Drosophila melanogaster: one gene and its partners. The protein of the gene in region 1 interacts with the protein of each later gene in a biochemical or structural test. Each region holds a gene or a part of one and is shown in the gene's direction. Other genes may lie near its edges.

Evidence for each region.
Region 2: of the proteins of Hipk (region 1) and ey, one has a biochemical effect on the other in vitro, tested with the Drosophila melanogaster proteins (one study listed by BioGRID).
Region 3: of the proteins of Hipk (region 1) and arm, one has a biochemical effect on the other in vitro, tested with the Drosophila melanogaster proteins (one study listed by BioGRID).
Region 4: of the proteins of Hipk (region 1) and gro, one has a biochemical effect on the other in vitro, tested with the Drosophila melanogaster proteins (4 studies listed by BioGRID).

The regions. Positions count from the first base shown.
Region 1 is NT_037436.4:544,516-549,073, forward strand, and holds the start of Hipk (homeodomain interacting protein kinase), read left to right. Parts: upstream 1-1,543; 5' UTR 1,544-1,683; intron 1,684-2,966; 5' UTR 2,967-3,263; coding exon 3,264-3,552; intron 3,553-4,558.
Region 2 is NC_004353.4:702,695-707,682, forward strand, and holds the start of ey (eyeless), read left to right. Parts: upstream 1-1,956; 5' UTR 1,957-2,470; coding exon 2,471-2,579; intron 2,580-4,734; exon of another isoform or gene 4,735-4,797; coding exon 4,798-4,977; intron 4,978-4,988. UniProt on the Drosophila melanogaster protein: Involved in eye morphogenesis.
Region 3 is NC_004354.4:1,897,602-1,902,467, reverse strand, and holds the start of arm (armadillo), read left to right. Parts: upstream 1-1,821; 5' UTR 1,822-1,958; intron 1,959-2,294; exon of another isoform or gene 2,295-2,424; intron 2,425-2,857; exon of another isoform or gene 2,858-3,164; intron 3,165-3,428; 5' UTR 3,429-3,457; coding exon 3,458-3,488; intron 3,489-4,866. Other genes in the region: CG32801 (uncharacterized protein), read left to right, coding at 6-316; Ldaf1 (lipid droplet assembly factor 1), read left to right, coding at 666-755, 854-1,031, 1,191-1,403, 1,455-1,702. UniProt on the Drosophila melanogaster protein: Isoform neural may associate with CadN and participate in the transmission of developmental information. Can associate with alpha-catenin.
Region 4 is NT_033777.3:26,039,743-26,047,749, forward strand, and holds the start of gro (groucho), read left to right. Parts: upstream 1-1,993; 5' UTR 1,994-2,159; intron 2,160-2,337; exon of another isoform or gene 2,338-2,522; intron 2,523-2,898; exon of another isoform or gene 2,899-3,070; intron 3,071-3,077; exon of another isoform or gene 3,078-3,161; intron 3,162-3,252; 5' UTR 3,253-3,601; coding exon 3,602-3,637; intron 3,638-3,772; coding exon 3,773-3,867; intron 3,868-4,567; coding exon 4,568-4,631; intron 4,632-4,701; coding exon 4,702-4,884; intron 4,885-5,261; coding exon 5,262-5,294; intron 5,295-5,726; coding exon 5,727-5,921; intron 5,922-5,986; coding exon 5,987-6,085; intron 6,086-6,793; coding exon 6,794-6,850; intron 6,851-6,990; coding exon 6,991-7,167; intron 7,168-7,231; coding exon 7,232-7,503; intron 7,504-7,753; coding exon 7,754-8,007. Other genes in the region: E(spl)m8-HLH (enhancer of split m8, helix-loop-helix), read left to right, coding at 582-1,121. UniProt on the Drosophila melanogaster protein: Transcriptional corepressor that regulates transcription when recruited to specific target DNA by hairy-related bHLH proteins. Maternally required for neurogenesis; in the segregation of the neuroectoderm. Directly or indirectly interacts with Notch and Delta.

The DNA.
Region 1 (4,558 bases):
GGCGCAACCCTCATTCCCCCAACCCACTCGCCCACTTTGGCAGCTGTCAATTAGAGCTTACAGGGAGAAAAAATGAAAACCCGAAGCTTCCATATGTTAGCTGTCCCTCCCACAGGTCTCCGCCCCCAACAGCTGTTGGAAAATGAGATTAGGAGGTGGGGGGTAAGTGGGGACCCAGCTTTATTGGCCTGTAATTGATGCCCAGGCTGCCAACCATATTGCTGATTGAATTGTGGCGTTGTCGCTGCAGAAAAGAAGAAGGGTGTGGATGCACAGTCCAGAGGACTGACTGCTGACGTCGCCACCGAAAGCAGAACCCGTTCAAGCTGCAGTTAAGCAAGTCTTCTGCGGGGAACCCCCGGGGACACAGACTTGTCGAACTCGCATCCTGCTGCGCTACATAAACCCCGAAAGTCCATGCCAGATTTAATGACAAAGGCCACCGCCCATTACAATGTTGCTTAACTACCATAATTATAAACAAAAATATAATATTATGTTTAAGGCTTACCTTCTCTTTACTTTTGTGCTTGGGGGAAATTGCAATTCTTTGAAGCGCTGGCTTATTTACATAAGAGTAATAGGGAATTCACCAGTTTAGTTACCTTTTGTTTGGTTGCGCTTTTCAAGTCTAGGTTTTCCTAAGAATTGTTCTCCATTCCTTATTTTCAGCATGCTGGAAACCATATGCTCTCTTTTGATCCTTTGGTGGAAAAGTACCCCCCGTACCTTTTCTTTGGCTCGGCTAAAAATGTGTTCAATCCACGCAGCCATTTCCATCTCGTTCTATATGTGTGTAATTAAGTCTGTCCACGACGCAAGTTTTCCTCAGCGCCTCTTTTTACCCGGCGGCTGCCCAACTAAACCACTTTGGCCCATTCGCACATCGCAACCCCCTCTCCTCGACCCACCTCAACAAAAAACAAAAAAAAAAAAAAACTATTTCACAAGGTGCCCCTTTGCCGGTTCTTGGCCTCCCTTTTGGCTTTCTCCGCCCCTTCCTTCTGCTTTCTGCTGCCGACGCAAATCCTTACGTGTCAAATGGAGCCCCTCACACTTTTGGATGGCGCCCGAACAGGGACATCCACGTAAGCAATCAAGCACTTAATCGGCTATCCGACGAAGGATTACCCCTTACTGGAATTATTCATACCGGATCATAAATTTGTACAGATAAGACCAGTTTAGAGACAGTACTATATAGTATAGTATAGTAAGTGAAAATCCCTAAACATTTACGTTAAGGTCGAAGCAGAGGATACCCAGGATATTATAGGGTAGCAAGGGAAGGAAAAACCAAAACAACAACCACAGAGAAAGTAAGCAAAAATAATTTCGCGATTCGTCCCCCGGGCAGAGCCCTAAAAGTCGCAATTTGAGGGGTGGAGCCCTTCTCTGGAGCGGCAGGAAGTGGGTAGTGGAAGAGCGGAGACCGGGCTTGCGCAGGCGCCTGGAAGAATCCGAAGCCGAGAAGAGCGGCGAGTGTCCGCTCTCTTTTTTCGGCTCTGTGGCAACAAAGTTTCGGTGCCTCAATTCTTCGATTCAGAGTCTCCACAAACGGCTTCGCGAGCGGACGTTGCAGCCACAGAAGATACAGCCACGGCCGTCGAGGAAGTGGCAGCTACAGAAAGCCAAGATATATATCTGCATATACATATGACTGGCGAAGCTGCTGCGAAAAAGGTGCAAAACAAATTAAGATGCATAAATAAACACCGGACTCGCTGGCAGGTGTTTGTGAACTCTGCTTGTGTGTGTGTGAGTGTGTGTGCGAGTGCGGTGCTGTGCGGTGAAATATTACGAAAGAAAACCTTTTATGTTTTGCAATTTTCCCGCAAACAAATCAACGAGCATAAATATTAATTTTGGCTACACCCAAAATGAGATGATGGACAATAACAGCGGCAAGAAGAAGCGCTTTCAGAAACTTGTTTTAGCCCGGTTTCGGATTTCTCCGTCTTCCTCTTCTCTTCTCGGCGACGTAGTTAACTAAGAGCCGTCGTATTAGACGTTAGTTAGAGAGTGCGTGTAAATTGTCGAAGGGATATTGTGTTTCCCAAAGCCCCATCTGAAATATGTATTCTCACTGTTCATCTCTGTAATGAAAGCTGTGAATTTATCAAGTTACTAATCGGTATTGTGCGGATAATGGCCATCAAAACCTTTTGAGCTACGTTTTTCGATTTTACATTAGGCAAGGGTATCCGTAGGATCCATTTACTCGCCAGCTGCAGAACGAAAATCCATTCAGCAAAACTGTCTCTCCCTTTTCCACTCGCTGAGCAATCCATTTAATAACTTTGGAACCGGCTTGTGTTTGCTTTAATTTGTTGTTGTTTTTTGTGGATTTGTTTTTTGGGTTTGGCAACGAAAGTTGCCAATTAGGTTTAATTTTAGGGGGCTTCGTAGAATTTTCAGCAAAGTGCGTAGAAAAGGGTTTCGTGGTGTGTATCCGTGTGGGCCAAAAGTGCGCTAGTGTGCGTGTTGTTTGTGTGCGGGGCCAAGTGCGTATCTCCCAAATGTTTTTATTGTTGTTTGCTTTTTTCGTTCTTTTGTGGTTTTCATTTTTCGACACCCGAAATGTGTTTGTCTTGTTTTTATAGTTTGCTCTCTTTCACGCCGCTTTTTGCGTAGTTTAAAAGTGGAATCAAGTAAAAAACAAAACAATTACAGTAGAGCCTAGATGAGGAAGTTCTGCGTGCAAGAAACATAAAGTTACCAAGTTGCTGTACAAGCCTTTCCAAGGCATTACAAAATTACTTAAAGCAAAATAAAGTTATTTAGTTCACTAGTTAGTCTCCACTGTCAATATTTGGACAACACATTTGAATGGAAAGTTTCAAAAGCGAATTAAAATATAAACGTATGAATGCCGGGCAGGTGTGCGAGTGTGGTGATATGATATTTTTGGTACGTGATTTTATTCGACCATGCTAATGGCTATTGTGTTCTCCCTCTACTTGCAGATTCTCTTTTAATTTGGCATAAATTGTATTTGTCTTGAAAAAAGCATATTCTTGTAAATATATCCTCTTCGTAAAATATTTTACTTAAAAGCCTTAAAATATTGAATTCACGTGAAATTTCAAACGGTGTCACTCGAAATTCGCCAGTGACTCGCCGCCACGTTTTGTACAAACATAGTTTGTAAACATAAGTTTGTAAGCGGCCGGAAAAAGGCGAACGGAACCCAAAAACCCCAATGCAAGCCAACTGAGTGCAAGGGAGACAGCCGACCACGTCGAGCGGGATAGCATGCGCCAATGAAAACGTCCTACCCCCCAAAAGCGTCCGATTTCGTTGACTACGCCGTTGCCGGGGGCGGGGGATCCGGATTCTGTTCGGGATTAGGAGCGGGACTTTCAGTCAGGGCGACGTCCTTCTACGGCGATCAAACGGTAACGGCAACTACGGACGGGACGCGTCACCAGGAACAACAACAACAACAACTGCAGCAGCAGCAACAGCAGCATATCCTAAGGCAACCTGCAACATCCGCATCGACTTCATCGGTAGCTGCAGCAGCAACCAGCAAGCGAAAACGTCAAACAGGTGAGTTTTTTATTAGCCATCCAAATAGTTACTACAGACGTGCACTAGCTTTATTTGTGACTAGGCTTTCGAAATCCCCACCTATAGGTGTCAAAAGGTTTGAATTCGATGTCGATAACATGTGAATTCGATATATTATGTTATGCAGGCAGTTTTCAGTGTAAATCGGATTCGGATAAATATAAGTTATCGGATAAGTTTTTGCTTAGCTAAGCACCTTCAGCAACCACACGAATGAATCATGGGTAATATGTCCGGTTGATTGCCCCTTCCCGTGGTGATAGCACTCATCGATTATTGTGACAATCGCTTAATTTGCTTGAGTTATCGTTATCACACACGCGCCGTGGGCAAATGCGCCCTGTTGTTTAGTAATACTAGGCGCAATATTTATTATTATTGGTTGCCGTGCCATATTTCTGCCTCTTCTGGGCACTCTTATCGCCCGATTTCCCCCAGCGCCTCCCCTTTTTATTGTTGATTATCACAATAGACGCCATGGCAACTTTTTTCTTCTTTATTTTTGGTTTGGTTGGTGAGAGTGCAAGGAAGCGATAATTCGCATGGTGGTTTGTCGCCGTTTTGTATTTTTTGGGTTTGTGGACATTCTTAGACTTTGTTTTGTACTTCGGTTGGTATCTTTGGATTTTCCACGCTATCCGCGATTACGCTTGCATGCTCGAGCATGTCTGTCTTGGCGCTTGAAGAAGATTCCCTTCCATAATCCCTTTAAAATTTGCGATGATGTTTTCGCTGCTCGACTTGCCTGGCTTCATTCACATTATCTGCTCTGTGAATAGTATGAGTTATTGTTTGATATCTCACAAGGTCCCCCGCACCCCTGTTCCCCGAGCTCATTGAAAATTCCAGCGGACGCAATTACCACCCCAATTGTCTCCCAATCTAAGTTTTCGCTTTTGAGCGGCTCCGCCTCTTTGCTCGACTGTATTTTCAGTGTTTCCTTCGCTTTATTTATTTTTCGCTTATTGCGACTTATAAAAATATT
Region 2 (4,988 bases), on another chromosome or scaffold:
GAACTCTATAGTGCCTATATCTTAATATACCCTTGGAGACATTTTGCCCGCAAATGTATTATTGATACCCGCCTACCCAGACTTCCATCCCGTTAACAGCATATATATGTAAGTACATGTATTCCAGATCTCGATCACTTACTGAATCGACGACCTAGCCAATCTCCAAACGAAGAGTTTTTTATTGGCGATTCTTGCTATTATTAATATATGGGTGTCGAAACCCTCGGAGGCGGTCTGCATCTGAAGCAGACTAAGCCGAAACGGAACAACTTTTTGCTCCACGAGCATGTGCCGTGTCGTTGGCACGTGCCACGTGGCGATTGCTTGGGCTGCGTTCCATCCTCAGCACCAGTGCGAAGATAATATGATGATAGCAGGGCTGATTCAGCTTCCTGCGGGGGACATACTTTCATGTGCTACCATGTAGCCTAATAAAAACATTTGTTTCCTCCACCTTTAGGCGTTTTATGATGTAATCTGTGCATATTAAATCTTGAATATTATAAAGGGATATGGCAATCGGATCAAATGAAAATGATTCAGTCTTACCTGTAATAATAAAAATTACATGTGCGAAAGTAAGTTCAAACATTTTATAGTCAATGAAACGCCCAGTAAGTTAAGTATTTAGAACAGTTGCGCGCCTAACATTCTCACATATATTCAGATATCGATCGTGCGTGCATTTTATTCATAAAAATGTCAACGGGCTTGGTTAAATTGTTTAGTGATTGCTAATGTTTTTAAAATATGTCAAATATTTCAACCCCAATTCTTTCAGATTTGCTACAAATTTCGACAGAACAAAATTAAATATTATAAATACAATGTAGAACTATTGCAAGGGTACATTAAAAACATTCTGGAAGTGACTTAGAAGTAATATGCATTATTATTACATTTCACTTTTCAGAAGTCATAAGGACGTTATAAACCGTGTGAGAAGAACTCTTCGCATTGGAGAGCCCAATTGTATTGGAAACAGAAAAATTGGCCGGATATTGCTGTTGAATTTTGTGAATTGCACTTAAATCGACATTATCCCATACAGTCGTGTAGGTGCGCTATAGTTTTTTAATATTTCTCTAGAGGATTTTGAAACATGGCCTTTTAGCCATAACACTGGCCGTCCCTTTCAGGCTATTGGCAACTCGTTCTCTCGCTGTGCGGCGCAAAAGCAGGACAGGAACTTCCTCTTTGGGGCCCACCCAGCCTCCACATGTGACGACAGCTTATGGGATGGTGGCTGGTGGGTGTGACCGTGCTTAGGCTTGTCGACATTTTACTAAACAACCGTACGCCCACACCCAGCTCCCCTCGATATGGCTGTGTGTGTAGGCTCGCACTGCCGAAGCGGAAACGTGCGGGTAGTTAACGGAAATGTGAAGCGCTTATTGTATCGGAATGAAACAATTCCATTGGACGAGTGTGCTGCTGGCAACTTGTCTGGCCAGCTTGAATTCAAATGGAATGCAACATGTGTGTAATTGCTGGGGGGGGGGGGGGTGTGGCACTGGGCGACTTCTCGAAAGGCGGTGAAAGCGGCAGGCGCTGCACCGTTTACACACAGTTTCTTGCTGGAAGGAACAACATCCAGTTCCAGACCAGCACTTTCATGTCTGTTCAGGACCAAACCATTCCATTATGTGCTGCTGGTCCGTCTAGAGTTGGTTCTTCCTTTATTTTCAGATTCCGTTGCCACGATATGCTTAACGACACAACGCAGCTGCAGAACTGCACCGTGCCGAATCGCTTTCATCTTCCGCCAACTAACCTTACACGGGTGCGAGAGGGACAACTGGTGTGCTTCAACAACCAATCATGGGGCTAGCCTATAGCAAATGGTGGTGAGTGGACCAGCCATGCTGGTCTTTGCCAATCGCACGCGGTTCCGTGGCAACAAACCCAGCCTTTTGCGCAGGGGGGTGCTGGCCAGCCGAGGGTCGGCCTAGTCTGTTTCTGAAACGGATCCGGGTAGGCAGGTCGTGACATTATTATTTCGTGTTGCGCTTCTAAGGTAAATACTGTTCCGCCGCCGTGTCGCGAAGTTTAAGAAAGGTTGTTCGATTCACCGTGCGTATTAATCTTTATATCAAATGAAATTACCGGCTAAGTTAGCAATCGGTAGACCCGGGAATAATACGTGTTACGTGCAGTACAAATATGATGCTAACATGAGTGCAATCAAAAGTGGCGTTCGAAAAATGAACAAGTGAACTAAAACAAAAGCGGCTGCTCAGTTATATTTGTGTTTCCGAATTCGTAACTCTTAGGTCCTCACGGCGCGATCAACAATAGGTTTTTTGATCACTGCAGGACGTCATTCTCACCATCTGCGCAAATTTACTCTTAACTCTTGCTTGACTCGCCCTGCAAGAGTTCGCACGGCGTGCGTTTGGCTGAACACAGCAGTCTCTTGGCTAAAGCTTTCATGAGCAGTGCATGTAATAAAAACTGAGATCCAACTATGTTTACATTGCAACCAACTCCAACTGCTATAGGCACCGTGGTTCCCCCATGGTCAGCGGGAACATTGATAGAGCGCCTGCCGTCTTTAGAAGACATGGCTCACAAGGGTAAGTGAATTTTTTAAATTTCTTGATTGGCATCATCGTCTTTATCCGACCCTCTTATAAATATATATGAGTCTTAGCCAACACATATGTTAATGCTGCCCATGGGCAGTTGATCCGGTCCTACTAGGCGAGTGCAGTTTCGTTCGGCTGTTGGTCTCTTTTGGCGCAGTTTACCAATAGATAAAAAGCTTCTGAACTGAATCGTTTGCGAACTCTTCTCTCAAACTCAAACTCCCGAGAGTAAGACGGCTTTATACTCCGTATAAATTGTCCAAATCAAAGATATTCAAATCTTCGCCGTGACTCTTATAATTCGAAAAACCTATATTTGTATTATACCCGTAGCTTGTTGCTAATTTGTATTTAAAGTAGTTAGTGGAAGGAAGAGTTCCCGGCTAGTCGATTTTCCGATGACCGTTGGCATGTCTGTCCGTCAGTATTGACGTCGAGACCTTTGGAAGCGAAATAAGTAGGAATTATGCAAATTCCAGTAATGCATACGCAGCTTAATTTTATATTAAACCATTGTCACTCACTCACATTGTAAATTACAACGCAAAGGCGTTTAATGATCAATGGCGTTCCTACGGGCGTATCTCATGCTATCCCGCGCGTATATGATTATTGAGTACTTCATACTAGCTGACTCTTTCGTTTTATACAAATTTGTATACTCGTTACTCATAGATTAAAGGGTTATTAGATTTTTTAAATTTAAAGTATATATATTCTTGATCATGGTCAATCGGTCAATCTAGCCATGTCCGTCTAGCCATGTCCGTCTGCATGGACGTCGAGTTCTTAGGAACTATAAGAGCCAAAAGATTGCAATTTCTCGTTCACACATGCAGCCCAATTACGGGTATTTGATAGTCAATAAACCGGACTATAGCTCTCTTTCTCCTGTTTTAGCTCATAACGCTAACTGAAAAAGATTAAGCGCCTCCTTCTAAAAGCCCCATAAACGGCCCAAGTAGTCTATGGTATATATTCGTTCATACTGGGAACTTTTTAAACTAGTTCTTTTAAGTAATAGCTTAGGTCAAAAGTGATATTCTAGTTGAATTCTTTAACCATTTGGTTGTATACCTAGCTATGATTTATCCGTTTGTATTCTTCACGACTACCTTCTGCACGCAAGTTGCGAAGTCTTTTCCTGCAAGGTTTAAAACTATGCGGCTTACTGCTGAAATCGAAATTAGTTTGATTACTTTTAATACATTTTTTTGCACTTTTATCTCGCAATAAAATGATAACCCAAATACATAGCTTATGTTTTTGGGTTTCAGTTTAATTAAAACAATTAGGTAATCCTGATTTTTCAATTCGTTGCAGGTATAATATATTACAAAAAATAATTCGAATCGAACTATGACCTGAAATTTTATATTGCCAAAAAAAGTAGAGTATACCGAATTTAATTAATACATATAACTGATATATGTAAGAAAATATGTAACTAACAATGTAATGAAATAATTCTAATTCCTATGCAATCTGGCTCAACTTCTTAACTGAAATAAGAGAAAATGTTATAGTAGAGTTTCTCGATCAAACACAGGTCTAATTTAAAATTTGCAGTATTTTAGTTCCCGAATTCAGAGTGTTTAATAATGCATGTTCTTTAGAGACTAGGACAAAAAATCTGCAGAGTGTTCGGCAACTTTTGCAGTAGATTTCAGATTATAGATAGATTACAAAGAGAATAAATAAAACAAAAGAGAATGCTTTAGTCGAGTTCCGACTATCAGATACCCTTCACTTCGCTAGTGGGAATGCAAACGGAATGCAAATATATATGCGGGAATAAAATGAGAAAATATTTAAAAATGGTTTGAAAGTGTGGGTGTGGCAGTTTAGGGCGGTTTTAGTGCGTTTGAGTGGGTATTCTGTATTCTGTATGCCTCTGTATGAGATCTGGACGTTCATACGGACGGACATGGCCAGAATGACTTAGCTTTGATCCTGATCAAAAATATATATACTTTATGTGGTCGAAACGCTTCCTTCTACCTGTTACACACTTTTGAACGAATCTAGTATACCCTTTTACTCTACAAGTACTAGTACTTAAAATATGTTACATTTTTATAAACACTTAAGCAAGTTCAAAGTTGGTTCAAATTTAAAGATCTATTCCACTATTATTATAAATGAATTCCAAGTACAAACTGACTTCTTGATACGAATTTTACTCCTTTGATTTTCTTTTTTATAGACAATGTGATTGCAATGAGAAATTTACCCTGTTTGGGTACCGCTGGTGGTAGCGGACTAGGCGGTATTGCTGGGAAACCTTCCCCTACTATGGAAGCCGTGGAAGCCAGCACAGCGTCACATCCCCATTCGACATCTTCATACTTCGCCACAACTTACTACCATTTAACCGATGATGAATGTACGTTTTAA
Region 3 (4,866 bases), on another chromosome or scaffold:
TCCAGTTCATCCGCTAACACGGAAGTTCTACGCCCAGTATGAGCAACGCCAGCCGACGGATACCTTGAGGTACCTACGGCACACTTGGCCTGAGAAGCATGTGGAGCGTCAGAGGCAGCTCGGAAAAGCTGTTCCGCTCCTGGAGTCGCAGGTGTACGGCTGGTTGCCGCTCAAAAGTGGAGAGCGAGCCGCCGATCTGAACTTTCTGCATGCCAAGAAGGTGCGCTGCGGCATGACTGTTCACGGGGAGCGCTTGGTGGCGGAGAGGATTACGGCGCGTCCTCCGTTTAACGGACTCAGATTCCTGCTTCACTAATCCTACGGCGAAGAAATGTCGCACGCTGACCGCCATTATAAATTTATAATTTTTTTTTTAACATAGTGTTAATTTTTTTTTTGTAAACAAATTAATTATGATTAAAAAGCAAAACTAAGCCACGCTAGATCATTATTAAGAAACGCATCTTGTCTAATTCAAATTTAGTAAAAAAAAAGGTGGCAGCTCTCCCTCGATGATTTAGTTTCAGGGCTACGACGTCGATTATTTTTTGTTTATTTATATTGTTTTCATTTACTGTTGCTTCAAGCAGGCGAATGAACCTGGAACAGACTCCTCCTGTAATGCGCACAGCAACCGCCTGAGATTCTCGCAGTAGCCACGCAACATGGTGGGTACGGGTGTGAGTGAAGTGGGTGTTCCGGCATCTTCGGAAGAATCCGTAGATTTCGGCTGGAATCGGCATCGCAAGTCAAAGGTCGCGTTTCACGGACTCAGTGGCAGCCGGCATCTAATCACTTGGGTTCTTTGACTCACATAATATTCATAACTGATTTGATTTGATCGACTCTGCAGGCTCACTCGAACAAGGCTCGCAAAGCAGCCAAAGAGGCAAACGCCAAGAAGTCTGCGGGATCGGGAACAGAGAGCAAACCGGAGCACGTAAAGATACATGGCCCAGGCGATCGTAGTGCAGGAGTTCTGACTGGCGACCAGTTCCTGGAGAGCTTGCTCCAGACTCTCTACAGGTCATGTATGTCCACTAGTTGAAGTACTATCTGTAAAAGCGCTTAATTGCTTACTGCCACAATTAGTTACTTATATATGTACTACTCTGTACGGTTGTTAACCTGTTTTATGCATCACACCGCGTAACAAAAGTTGCCTTTGTTATAACGTTGCCATATTGCAGGGCTTCAAATCTGCCGCCTGGCAGATTTTGTGATGTCCGAGCTAGGTGGAAATGATTTCCTGGAGGCCACCGCGGCCTGGTGCACCCGGAATCCGCACGTTGCTATCTGCCTGCTAGCTGGTGGTCTTGTATTCATGCTGCCCTTCCTTATAATATTTGGGTTTGGAATAGCCACCATGGTTATGACCTTTACAGGTTTGCTGGTGCTAGAAGGTGCGTTCCGTAGTGTTTACCAGAGATCACGTTCTTATCGACTCGTTTTAGGCACACTCCTGACCATTGTGTCCATGGTGTTCTTCGCCTGCCTGGGAGGACTAGTCATAATGGTACCTCTCTTCGGTGTCGCCGCTGTTGCTGCCTATTTCGGATTTGCCCAGGTGTATGGCCTATGTGATGGAATAGAGATCCATAAGAGCGCGTGGGTCATGTTCTTTAGGGATCAACGGAAGGCCGGCGATCCGCCGCCAGCTGCTGTGACCATAACCGATGAACCCACTTCTACGACTGCATAAACCAATATTGCTTGCCCAACTTAAATATGTATTAAGAAATTAAAGACCAGTGTTTGAATACTTTTGGAAATTTAAAAAGTGCGCTTTCTATTTTGAAGCAAGTTGGCAGCCACCTGCGATAGAGGAGTTATCGGTTATCTGTTCTGCGCTCATATACACAGTTTTCATAGTCGGGGATTTTTGTCGAATTTAAATATCTAAGTGCGTCAAAAGTGCGTTAACCTGCCTTTGAGCAGATAAATTTACTTTCGAAGCGGTAAGTAATAGTAAAGTCATAGATATTTCTTTAATTCGTCGCCCAAAAACAATAGTTTTTGGTCGTACCTGTGTTGTCATACACCCTCATGTACACTCAGGTGCTTGTGTTGGTAAATGTTTATACAAGATAAACGGTGAGTTCGAGATAACATGATAACATGAACTAGAAATAAATTCGCCTTAGCTAAATTATAAATATTGTGAATTGAGTTTCTTAAGGATGAAATGCTATACAAATTTCGTGAGATTTTTGTGTTCTCAGAACAAAAAAAATTTGAAAAATTCCTTTGGCCTATCGCACAGGGCCCATCGAGTTATCGGGACAGCAGCAGGCCATCGCTAGTTGGGTTTCGTCGCCATATACACAGTTTTTCTCGAGCAGACAATTCGCTGTTATTTTGTTTCTTATAGCGTTTTAAATAAATAAATCCTGCTCTAAAGCAGACTTAAATTCCTTGGACGCGGTGAGTACTGTTAGTCGGTAGTGAATCCGTTTGGAAAGCCAAAGTTTCTGTGTGCCATGAAAGTTGGAAAGCCATGGCAAACAAGTCGGCGCGGGGGTGGGCAGGGGTTCGCTGGATGTGCGCCTGTGTATGTGTGTGTGTATGATCTGGATACACACAAACGGCATTTTTATGTATTCCTCCCCCGTAAATCGGGCGCTTGTTTTGTTGCTCGCTGGAATGTAAACAATGCCACAGACAGGAAATCGTTTTCTTCGAATCTAGAGGCAGGCTTATCGTTAGGTGTTTTATCTAATCGACAACTGAAATGGAGTTGGGATTCTTTCTGAGCTGCCTACGCGAGTATGTGTGTGTAGGCACAATCGTTTGGATGTGTGGCAACTCTGCGCAGCACTGCATTTGTATGCTGCACTGCCGCGGCCCTTTACTTTCTCTCCCAGTCTCTTTCCCTGTCCCTTTCCCGCACTCCGCACGCGCGGTGTTGCAAGTGCCTTGCTTTGCTTGCGCTCTCCGCATCTGGATTCTGTTCCGTTTAAACGAGCGTGCTGGTCGGTCGCATTTTCCGCTGCGCCTTTTTCGAGAGAAGTGAAAAATCCATTTTGTTTTTTGTTGGAGTGCATGAGATTTGAAAGAGTGCTAAACAAAGTAATTAAATAACTCAAGGTTCGTGGCCAAAGTCTTCGGCAGGTAGACACACACATACCCACAAATACCCGTTCTACCTGCGTAAGAATGTATTAGTGCGTTTGTTTGTATACGCAGCATATTTCATATTATGCTTCGGCATCTCAAAGCGGAAATGAGTTAAAAAAAAAGACCAACGACTAGAATAAGTGACTAACGGACGATATCTGCGTCTGTTGGCAGTCTGCAAACACAACAAGCCCTTCTTTCCGGGGCCCCCATTTAGTGGAGTTCCGTGGTCTCCATCCGAAGCACACACGAACTCCATGTTATTGACTGTCCAGCACATTACTCATATACTCTCCGTCTCTTTCTTGCAGGTGTGGTGTAAAGCGCCTCAATCACCAAGATGAGTTACATGCCAGCCCAGAATCGAACCAGTAAGTATTTCCAGCAGCGGTACTCTTCCCTTTCCCATCTTCCAGGGAGTATGCAAAGAGCATCAAAGTTAACTGTGTATCAGAGTGTTCCACTTTGGGCTTTTGTATACCCAGTCCAAATGCAGTTGTATACAGGATCCGATTTCATCAAATTAGAGATGATATTGCGTTTCAATGGACGCAATTAAGTCATGGTAGCTCTAGAGTTTAGAACATTTAGGATAAATAGTCAGAATACATGGCCCTATGAAGGGGATGCAACAGCGCATTGTATCTGTGAAACAATTATCCCCGTATCGCAATACAATAACAACCCCTCTCCAACGTTAAATGAGGGAGCGATGCTTGTTTTTGACAAATTTGGCAAATTTGACATAAAGTATTTGCTTTTGTCATTTGTTTCTGATATTCCCTTTGTGGGTTGTCTGCAGAATACAGGGTAACAACTATATCCATCCACCCCAGACAAATAATTTGTGTACATCTACATACTTGTAATGCTTGATGATCTTTTTTTTGTTGGGCCATCAACCACCAGCGGCCTGTGCTTATATCCGATTCATCAAAAAAAAAAGCGCTCCCTTCTACTTCGGAGTTTGAAATTTACACTTTTCCGCTGACGCAGTAAACGGAGTAGGAAAGAAGATTTCTTTTTGACACTTGATTTGCAGAGCGCGTTGGTGAGGCTCTCAGAGGCGCAGGAGAGGACTTCACCAAAGGGGAGGAGCTCGTTAATGCATGTTGGCTTCATTGAACTCCCATCACTTTTGCCACAGAAAGTCGAGGAATGTCAATATCTAGGACGACAGTAGTGAACAGTTCATAGCCATTTAGGAAGTGGCCTTTTAATTCGACCACTATTAAGTATTTAGTTTAGTTTTCAACTAATTGCTGTACAACCCCGAAACCCCCTTGAGTAGGCCGCTGCTCACTATCCTTTGAAACTCCATTCCCTCCCCATGCTATCCACTTACGCACACACACATTCAAGGACTCGTGTACTTGCACGTGGCACTCCAACCCACGCCACCCTTTTGCCATCGCTCCTTGGTCTTCTCCGGGGACCTTGTTCTCGTACCCCGTCTCCCGAACTCGCAGTCGAGTTGGCTGCACATTTTTCTTGGCTTCTGCCTTTGCTTTTTTCTGGCGCTGCTGCTGTGCAGAATTTAATTAGTAAGCGGCAACATGCAATTAAAGGCTCCGCCCGCGCCCTCCATCCCAACACAGTACTCCATTCAAGTGCGTGGCCCACTCGACGGATATGGCGAAGAAAAAACGCTTAATCGATTTGGGAAATGAAACGAAAAGCGATTACAGTATTACAGTCGCATGTGCTTATAGCGAACAAAATTCATCAGCTGTGGGCTAAACCATTTTG
Region 4 (8,007 bases), on another chromosome or scaffold:
AGCGGCCCACGCACAAGCAGTTCGGATCCCCTGCCCCTGCTCATCATGCTTCGATCCCATGTACCCATATATGAACGTTCCCATTCCAAACACGACAGGATGAGGCAGTGAAGTATGCATTAAGGATAATAACACCGGCCCAGAAAGCAATGCGAGCAGCCAAAAACAGCGACAGCTGCAAAAATGTGCCCTGATCCTTATACTCGAAAAAAAATGAGAAGCGGAGCGGAGCGAAGCATGTGGCCAAAAGGGAAAACAAACGAGAAAAAATTGTGTGAGAAACTTACTTTCAGCTCGGTTCCCACGCCACGAGCCACAAGGATTGTCCTCCGTCCTACGAAGTTGCAGCTGTTCCTTGTGAAAAAGACAACAACACCGGCGTTTAGCCGTGCGAGCGAAAGAGAGGGCAGGAAAGGTGCGTATCAGAGGGTGGATTTCAGGGACCAGGGAGCGGTATAAAAGGACGGGACCTCGCAGAGCAGAATATCACTCACGATTACGCCGTCGAGCAGGCAGCAACAAGCCGAATACAAAATTTTTCAAAAATTTTTAAAACTACGTAACCTACTACCAAAACAAAAATGGAATACACCACCAAGACCCAGATCTACCAGAAGGTGAAGAAGCCAATGCTGGAGCGCCAGCGACGTGCCCGCATGAACAAGTGCCTGGACAACCTGAAAACACTTGTCGCCGAGCTACGAGGTGATGATGGCATCCTGCGCATGGACAAGGCCGAGATGCTCGAGTCAGCGGTGATCTTCATGCGCCAGCAAAAGACACCAAAGAAGGTGGCTCAGGAAGAACAATCCCTCCCCCTGGACAGCTTTAAGAATGGCTACATGAATGCCGTCAACGAGGTGTCACGTGTCATGGCCTCCACACCTGGCATGAGCGTCGACCTGGGCAAATCGGTGATGACTCACCTGGGACGCGTCTACAAGAACTTGCAGCAATTCCACGAAGCACAGTCCGCCGCCGACTTCATCCAGAACTCGATGGACTGCTCCTCAATGGACAAGGCTCCGCTCAGCCCCGCCTCCTCCGGATATCACAGCGACTGCGACAGCCCCGCCCCCTCGCCACAGCCCATGCAGCAGCCCTTGTGGCGCCCCTGGTAAAAACAAGGGGTTAAGTGGCAGGAAGGTAAGGGTGGAGTGGCAATGGGAATGGAAGAACCAACCAACAACGCATCTGTGATAGCCCAACTGTGATGGCAACAAAATAGCAAAATTAAAAAAGCAATTAGCAAAACAAATATAAACCAATTTAAACAAATATCAAAACAATTTACTTTATTGGGATGTTGGGAGGGGATCTAAGGGACCAATCCCTTAGTTGGTGGCAATTGGAATCCTTATTGGTAATTAAATTATTACCAATTAGGAAATATCAAATAATATATCTCTGCTCTGACAATGGAAATCTATTTTGGCAATGACCGAAGTGAAATCTATTTTATAATAATAAATATTTATTTATAAATATAAATAAATTATATTTATTTATTTATATCTATTTAATAATAAATTAAATATATTTCACTTAATTAAAATAAAAGTGTTTTAGAAAACTAGCACTGATAATTTTAAGTTTTTTGAATCGGTAATGTCCTTAACGGTTCACAAGATTGAAAATAGCAAATCAGACTGAATAATAATAAACTGAATAATTATTTATTCATTTTTAAAAAGCGCGCCAACTGCACCTGAAGAACATGTACAGATCTAAGTTACGTATTTATTGCGGAACTTTTTTCACTTTTTTTTCAAGATCATGGCAAAAAATGAGTGTTAGCATGGAATCTATTTAATTAGTTGTTCTGCAACCGTAGTGTTTGTAAATAAATAATTTAATACGTAATAGTTCTTTGAACATTAGGATTATTATTTCGCAGAGTGTAACTAGTTCGATTTCAGCGCAGGCACTTCCTAACACTGGCGCATGCAACACTGCGCCGCTGAAGCGAGTGGCCCGCGATAACAGACCCTCGACACATCGATAGGCGATAGCGCAAATTGCATACCTGAGACCGACGCGGTCTGTGTGTCGCGGATAGGAAAATAGGAAATTATAAATAGAAACGGGCCGTGCCGATGCCCCAAAAGCCACCCAATTGCCAGCTGCCCCAATCGGCGAGGATACCAAGTGCTACCGAGGTGAAAATCGGCGTGCCGAAATTGTTGCAAAAATATTTGAGACGAGAACGCCATTTACAAGCCGCGTTTGTACAGCGAGTGCGCGTGTAGTAGAGCCGGAGAGAGAGCCGCTGCGTGTGTGTGTGCCTGTGAGAGAGCGAGAGAGCGCCGCCGCCAAAGCTGCCCAACACATACACGAATGTTAGACACTTCGCGGTCGGTCGGCAGAAACAGGCAATTTTATACGGGCGAAAAGTTACAAAAAATAATTTTCCCACTTTTCGGTGGCGAAAACGAAGAAACTGTAAAAAATGGACCAGAGATTTAAGTGCAAAACATAGAAACATCTTGCGATAAAGCGTGCTAATCCGGGGCATAAAACTGGTACTGCCATTATCTCGCTTTTTTAATTGCTTTTGTTTATTTTTTGTATAGGACACAGTATAATTTTTCTTTTGCGCTGCGCGCGTGTGAGTGAGTGTGTGTGTGTGATTTGGCCACTCGCTGGTTTCTATGTATGTGCCCGTATCGCCGAACAGAGTTGCCGCCTCCAGGGCAAATCATAAAAAATATATTGGCTGTACAATTGAAAAATATTGAAAAGGGCCAAGCAAGTGAATTATATGCGGATAAGCGGAAAAATAACAAACAATAAACATCAAAGTAATGTGCAAACTGTGTTTCTGCTGCTGTGCGCGTTTCAAACGGCATGGCAACCCTGTTTAATTGCAGTCTGTCTGTATATGTTCGCATGTTGTTTGTGCGGAGTGTGCTGCCTTTACGAAAGAAAAGTGTTTTATTTTCATTGGATTAATCCCGCCCGGTTAACTGCACAATCGGATTAGTGCGTCCAGCGGCCCCCGAAAATCAAACAGTGATTTTGCGTAACAATTTCATGGGCCACATGCAACTGTGCGCTTGATTTTTCGGCGGTAAACACTCACACTCGTACCCTCGCTCCCGTTTCCTGTGCTAGTGTGCGTGTGTCTCGCTGGCTCAGCGCGCCTGTGTGTGTGCGTGTATGTACGTGCGTGCGAACGTATCGAAAAAAATGGTGCAAAAATATGAAAAAGCATAACTAAGCAAATATGTTGTTGTAAAATTCCATTCGCAGGATATGCAAAATGCGAAGTAGCCCGGACATGGAGTGCCACTAAGTGCCGGTTCCGTTTGTGGGAATACTAATAAAGCGGATCAACTGCCATCGAAAAATATTATTAAAAAAAAAAACAGAAGAAAAAGAATAGCTAAAAAACAAGTACCATAAAACGCTGGCAAACAGATAGATATTAGTCCACGTTTTGCAAGGAGTTTCTGTGCAGGAGTGGAGTGCTCAGGGATAACCGGAAGGAAGGAAGCGGCGTACGCAGCAGGAGGAGCAGCAGGACTTCCGCTCCGGCAAATCGGTGTCCACCTCGGAACTATCGCTCTTGCTCTAGCCGGCAACATACCAGCCTAACAACATGTATCCCTCACCGGTGCGCCACCCCGCCGCCGGGGTAAGTTCACCCGACAGTGGGTCCCACCTCTGACCCCCGAATCCGTGCTAATTGTGTTTATGTCTCTTTCCACCACGCCGCGCCATGTGCCGCCCACGTACGGAACACCAACCACCTCTATTCACATCTAAATAGGGACCACCACCTCAGGGTCCAATCAAGTTCACCATCGCCGATACACTGGAACGCATCAAGGAGGAGTTCAACTTCCTGCAGGCGCAGTACCACAGGCAAGTATCCGGTGGAATACTCTATACACGGCAATGTTTACATATGTAAACATTACGCGAATCATATTTACAAGGGATATACAAGGTTTATCATTATAATTGTGAATACAAGGCAAATCTTTACTATAAAGATTTGCAAGGAAATATTTGCCATCATAATGACACTCTCTGCAAATGTCATCTTTGTAATTGCTATGTCAAGAAAAAACTACATTGAATATTGGCCCTAAGAACTATTGGCCCACTAAAATTGCTATGATCGCAAATTTATGTCAGATAAAAGTAAAATTCTTCACACTTTCAAATAATCCAATGGCATAGTTTTCATGGGTTAAGCAATACGCAATTAGAGATTAGGCCCCAATAATTAAGTTGAGGTTAAACCTATTAGAAGCCTTTACAATAACATGCCCCAAAGAAATCACATTTTAAGCCTTAGCCTTAACCGCCATCGTATGGAAGTGTGCGAGTGTGAGTGTGGATGGATGCTGCGTCTGCGTTTTGCGAAAAGTAAAACAAAAAGCTGAGCAAACCGGTTTGGCGCGCCATATGCGCCGCTGTCATAGGATTAACCTGCGCCGCCCCAGCCGCAACTCAATGCTCCATGCTCCACAATCGCCGCTTCCTTGCGTTCTTGAATTCAGTTCGCTTCCGTCGTCCAACTAATTTGCCCGTTGATCACTTTTCCTGTGAATTCCAGCATTAAATTGGAGTGCGAGAAGCTGTCGAACGAGAAGACGGAGATGCAGCGCCATTATGTTATGGTAAGTCGTCATGATCCGCAAATTATCGAGATCCCTTAGCTAATGCCACGGCTTGCCTTCCAACTTTCAGTACTACGAGATGTCCTATGGCCTTAACGTGGAGATGCACAAGCAGACCGAGATCGCCAAGCGGCTGAACACACTGATCAACCAGCTACTTCCATTCCTTCAGGCCGACCACCAGCAGCAAGTGCTGCAGGCGGTGGAGCGGGCGAAGCAGGTGACCATGCAGGAGCTCAACCTGATCATTGGGGTAAGTCGATCGAGGACGGATGATGGATTCTGCGGCAGCAGCAATACGGTTTCAGCCATTCTCAGATAGACACTAATGGGGGCATGGCCGATTGGAAATTCGGTTGCCACACCGAAAAGGCAGAGAAATTTAGTTTGCCGGGTACTTTGTAATACAGTCTTTCAAAGAATAACAAATATCTTGAAAATTGTATAAAAAATAAGAAATCTAACGTATATATGAAACAGTACATATCATAAATGTGGCAACCGTTAAGTGGGAACTTCGTTTCGGTTTAGTTTGTTCCTTGGGCCGCATTTGATTTGAGTTTGTTTTTCTACTTCCTAATTTGTTATGATTTCGCATTCGACCAATCCAATCCAAACAACGTTGTGCAGCATCAGCAGCAACATGGAATTCAGCAACTTTTAGTAAGTTTGTTTCGTTGCAAGTTAATTTCTTATTGTTTGTTTACTGTTGCCGTCTGCCGCTGCATCCGCCGAATGTGCCACTGCCACAACTACAACAACAGCTCCAGTGCCTCACTACCTCCTCTTCCTTTTCTGATTGTCAACGTTTATATTATTTGAATAACGCTTCAAATGCCGCCAATTGTTGTTGCTGTTTCCATTAACCCCAGATGGTCTTTGCTTATGCTTATGAATCGAAAGATAAATAAATTAAATTTTGATACAAAATAAAAATATGGCAAATACCATTTAGTGTTAATGTCGTTGTTGTGTTTACACACATATGTACACACATTTCAATGCTTTCATATTCCCACTAAGCACGATGTTCATTATTCCGAAAGCCAGCAACGCGCACGCCCGATTTCATACGATCTCATGGTTCCATTGCAGCAACAGATCCACGCCCAGCAGGTGCCAGGTGGACCACCTCAGCCGATGGGCGCACTGAATCCGTTTGGCGCCCTGGGCGCCACCATGGGCCTGCCACACGGACCGCAAGGTCTGCTGAACAAACCGCCCGAACACCACAGGCCGGACATCAAGCCGACGGGTCTAGAGGGGCCAGCAGCCGCCGAGGAGCGATTGGTGAGTACCACGCCCTAGATCAAAATTCTGCATATTTCAAGCTAATTTTCATGCTGATCTTGCAGCGCAATTCGGTTTCGCCGGCCGATCGTGAGAAGTATCGCACACGCTCGCCGCTGGACATCGAGAACGACTCGAAGCGTCGAAAAGATGAGAAACTGCAAGTGAGTATCGAGCTTTTTTCAGTGTTAGCATTATACACTTGTAGTATCATAGATCATCGCGTTGATGGTGATTGCCATAACCGATTACTGTCATCTCATCTGAGCTGTTGCTGTCTCTCAACTCACCAGAAACTCAATTCCGTAGTTTACCCATTGTTGTTGTCTAATTCTGCTAACACTCTACCCCAAAATCATGCTAAACAAAACCTAAATTGCTAATTTTTAAGAGACAAAAAAAACATCACGATCTAATGGTGCCTGTTCCGGTTTTCAATTTCTAGTAGTTGGTTTAAGGTGTATCTCAACTTATAGAATTTTGTTTCTAATATTCCACAAATTGTAAAGCTAATGTGTAAATGTAAATTGGAGATGATTTATAATTATGACTGGTTTACTTTGTTTTAGATTATAAATTTTAATAGTAGTGTGGAACATGTGTAAACTATATACATTTTCTATGCTTTTAACTAGTTTTATTTCTTTGATTTTATTGTCTTACTTAAAAAAGGAACACTAATCGTAACTTCATGGTTTGTTTGCGTTTTTAAATTGTTAACCATGTAAAATGATGTGAAAACCAGAACAGGGCCTAAAATTTAGATACTAACTATTTCTATTGTGGTTGTTGTTATTGCTGTTGTTCGTTGTGGGTTTTTGTATGAATTTTGATTTATATTGTTTTTGTGTTTTTTTCAAAATTATTTCCAGGAGGATGAAGGCGAGAAAAGCGATCAAGATTTAGTCGTAGATGTTGCAAATGAAATGGTGAGTTGAGTGTCGGCCCAGATTCAATGCAACCACTCCCAAATTTCCCCAAAAAAAAAAAGAAACAAAAACCACACCTTTGCTATTACATTTATCATCAAATGCAAAAACAGTACTTAATGCATACATGTGCCTTGCAGGAATCCCACTCACCGCGTCCCAACGGCGAGCACGTGTCTATGGAGGTGCGCGATCGGGAAAGCTTGAATGGCGAGCGCCTGGAGAAGCCAAGCAGTAGTGGCATCAAGCAGGAACGGCCGCCCTCACGCTCCGGCTCCAGTTCGTCACGTTCCACACCCAGCCTCAAGACAAAAGATGTGAGCCAAATGTCAAATGTCGAACCCAGAAAGTGTTAGAGCTAATTGAATCTCGTTCATTTAGATGGAAAAGCCGGGTACACCGGGCGCCAAGGCACGCACACCGACACCGAACGCCGCTGCTCCGGCGCCAGGCGTTAATCCTAAACAAATGATGCCGCAGGGACCACCGCCAGCCGGATATCCGGGTGCACCGTATCAAAGGCCGGCCGATCCCTACCAGCGTCCACCGTCAGATCCAGCCTATGGACGACCGCCACCAATGCCGTACGATCCGCACGCCCATGTGCGAACCAATGGCATTCCACATCCCTCGGCCCTAACGGGTGGAAAGCCGTAAGTCATTTATGTCAATTTACGGTCCGAAAAGTAGACTATAGGAATTTTGTCGTGCATTGTTATTAAGTATTTAAAGTAATTCAATGCAACTGATTAAAATGCAAAGTGCAATGTAGTCGATTGGAGATGATAAATGTATGAATCGGCACAGATAGGAGTATATAATATCGCTATTTCTACGAACGTTAAACGTCTTATCACTAATTAAATGGTTACATTAATTAATAAACACATTTTGCCGTTGCAGTGCATACTCTTTCCATATGAACGGCGAGGGTAGTCTACAACCGGTGCCGTTCCCGCCGGACGCGTTGGTGGGTGTTGGAATTCCGCGGCACGCCCGTCAGATCAACACGCTGTCGCATGGAGAGGTCGTCTGTGCGGTAACCATCTCTAATCCCACAAAGTACGTGTACACGGGCGGCAAGGGCTGCGTCAAGGTATGGGACATCTCGCAACCGGGCAACAAGAATCCAGTTAGCCAGCTGGATTGTCTGCAGC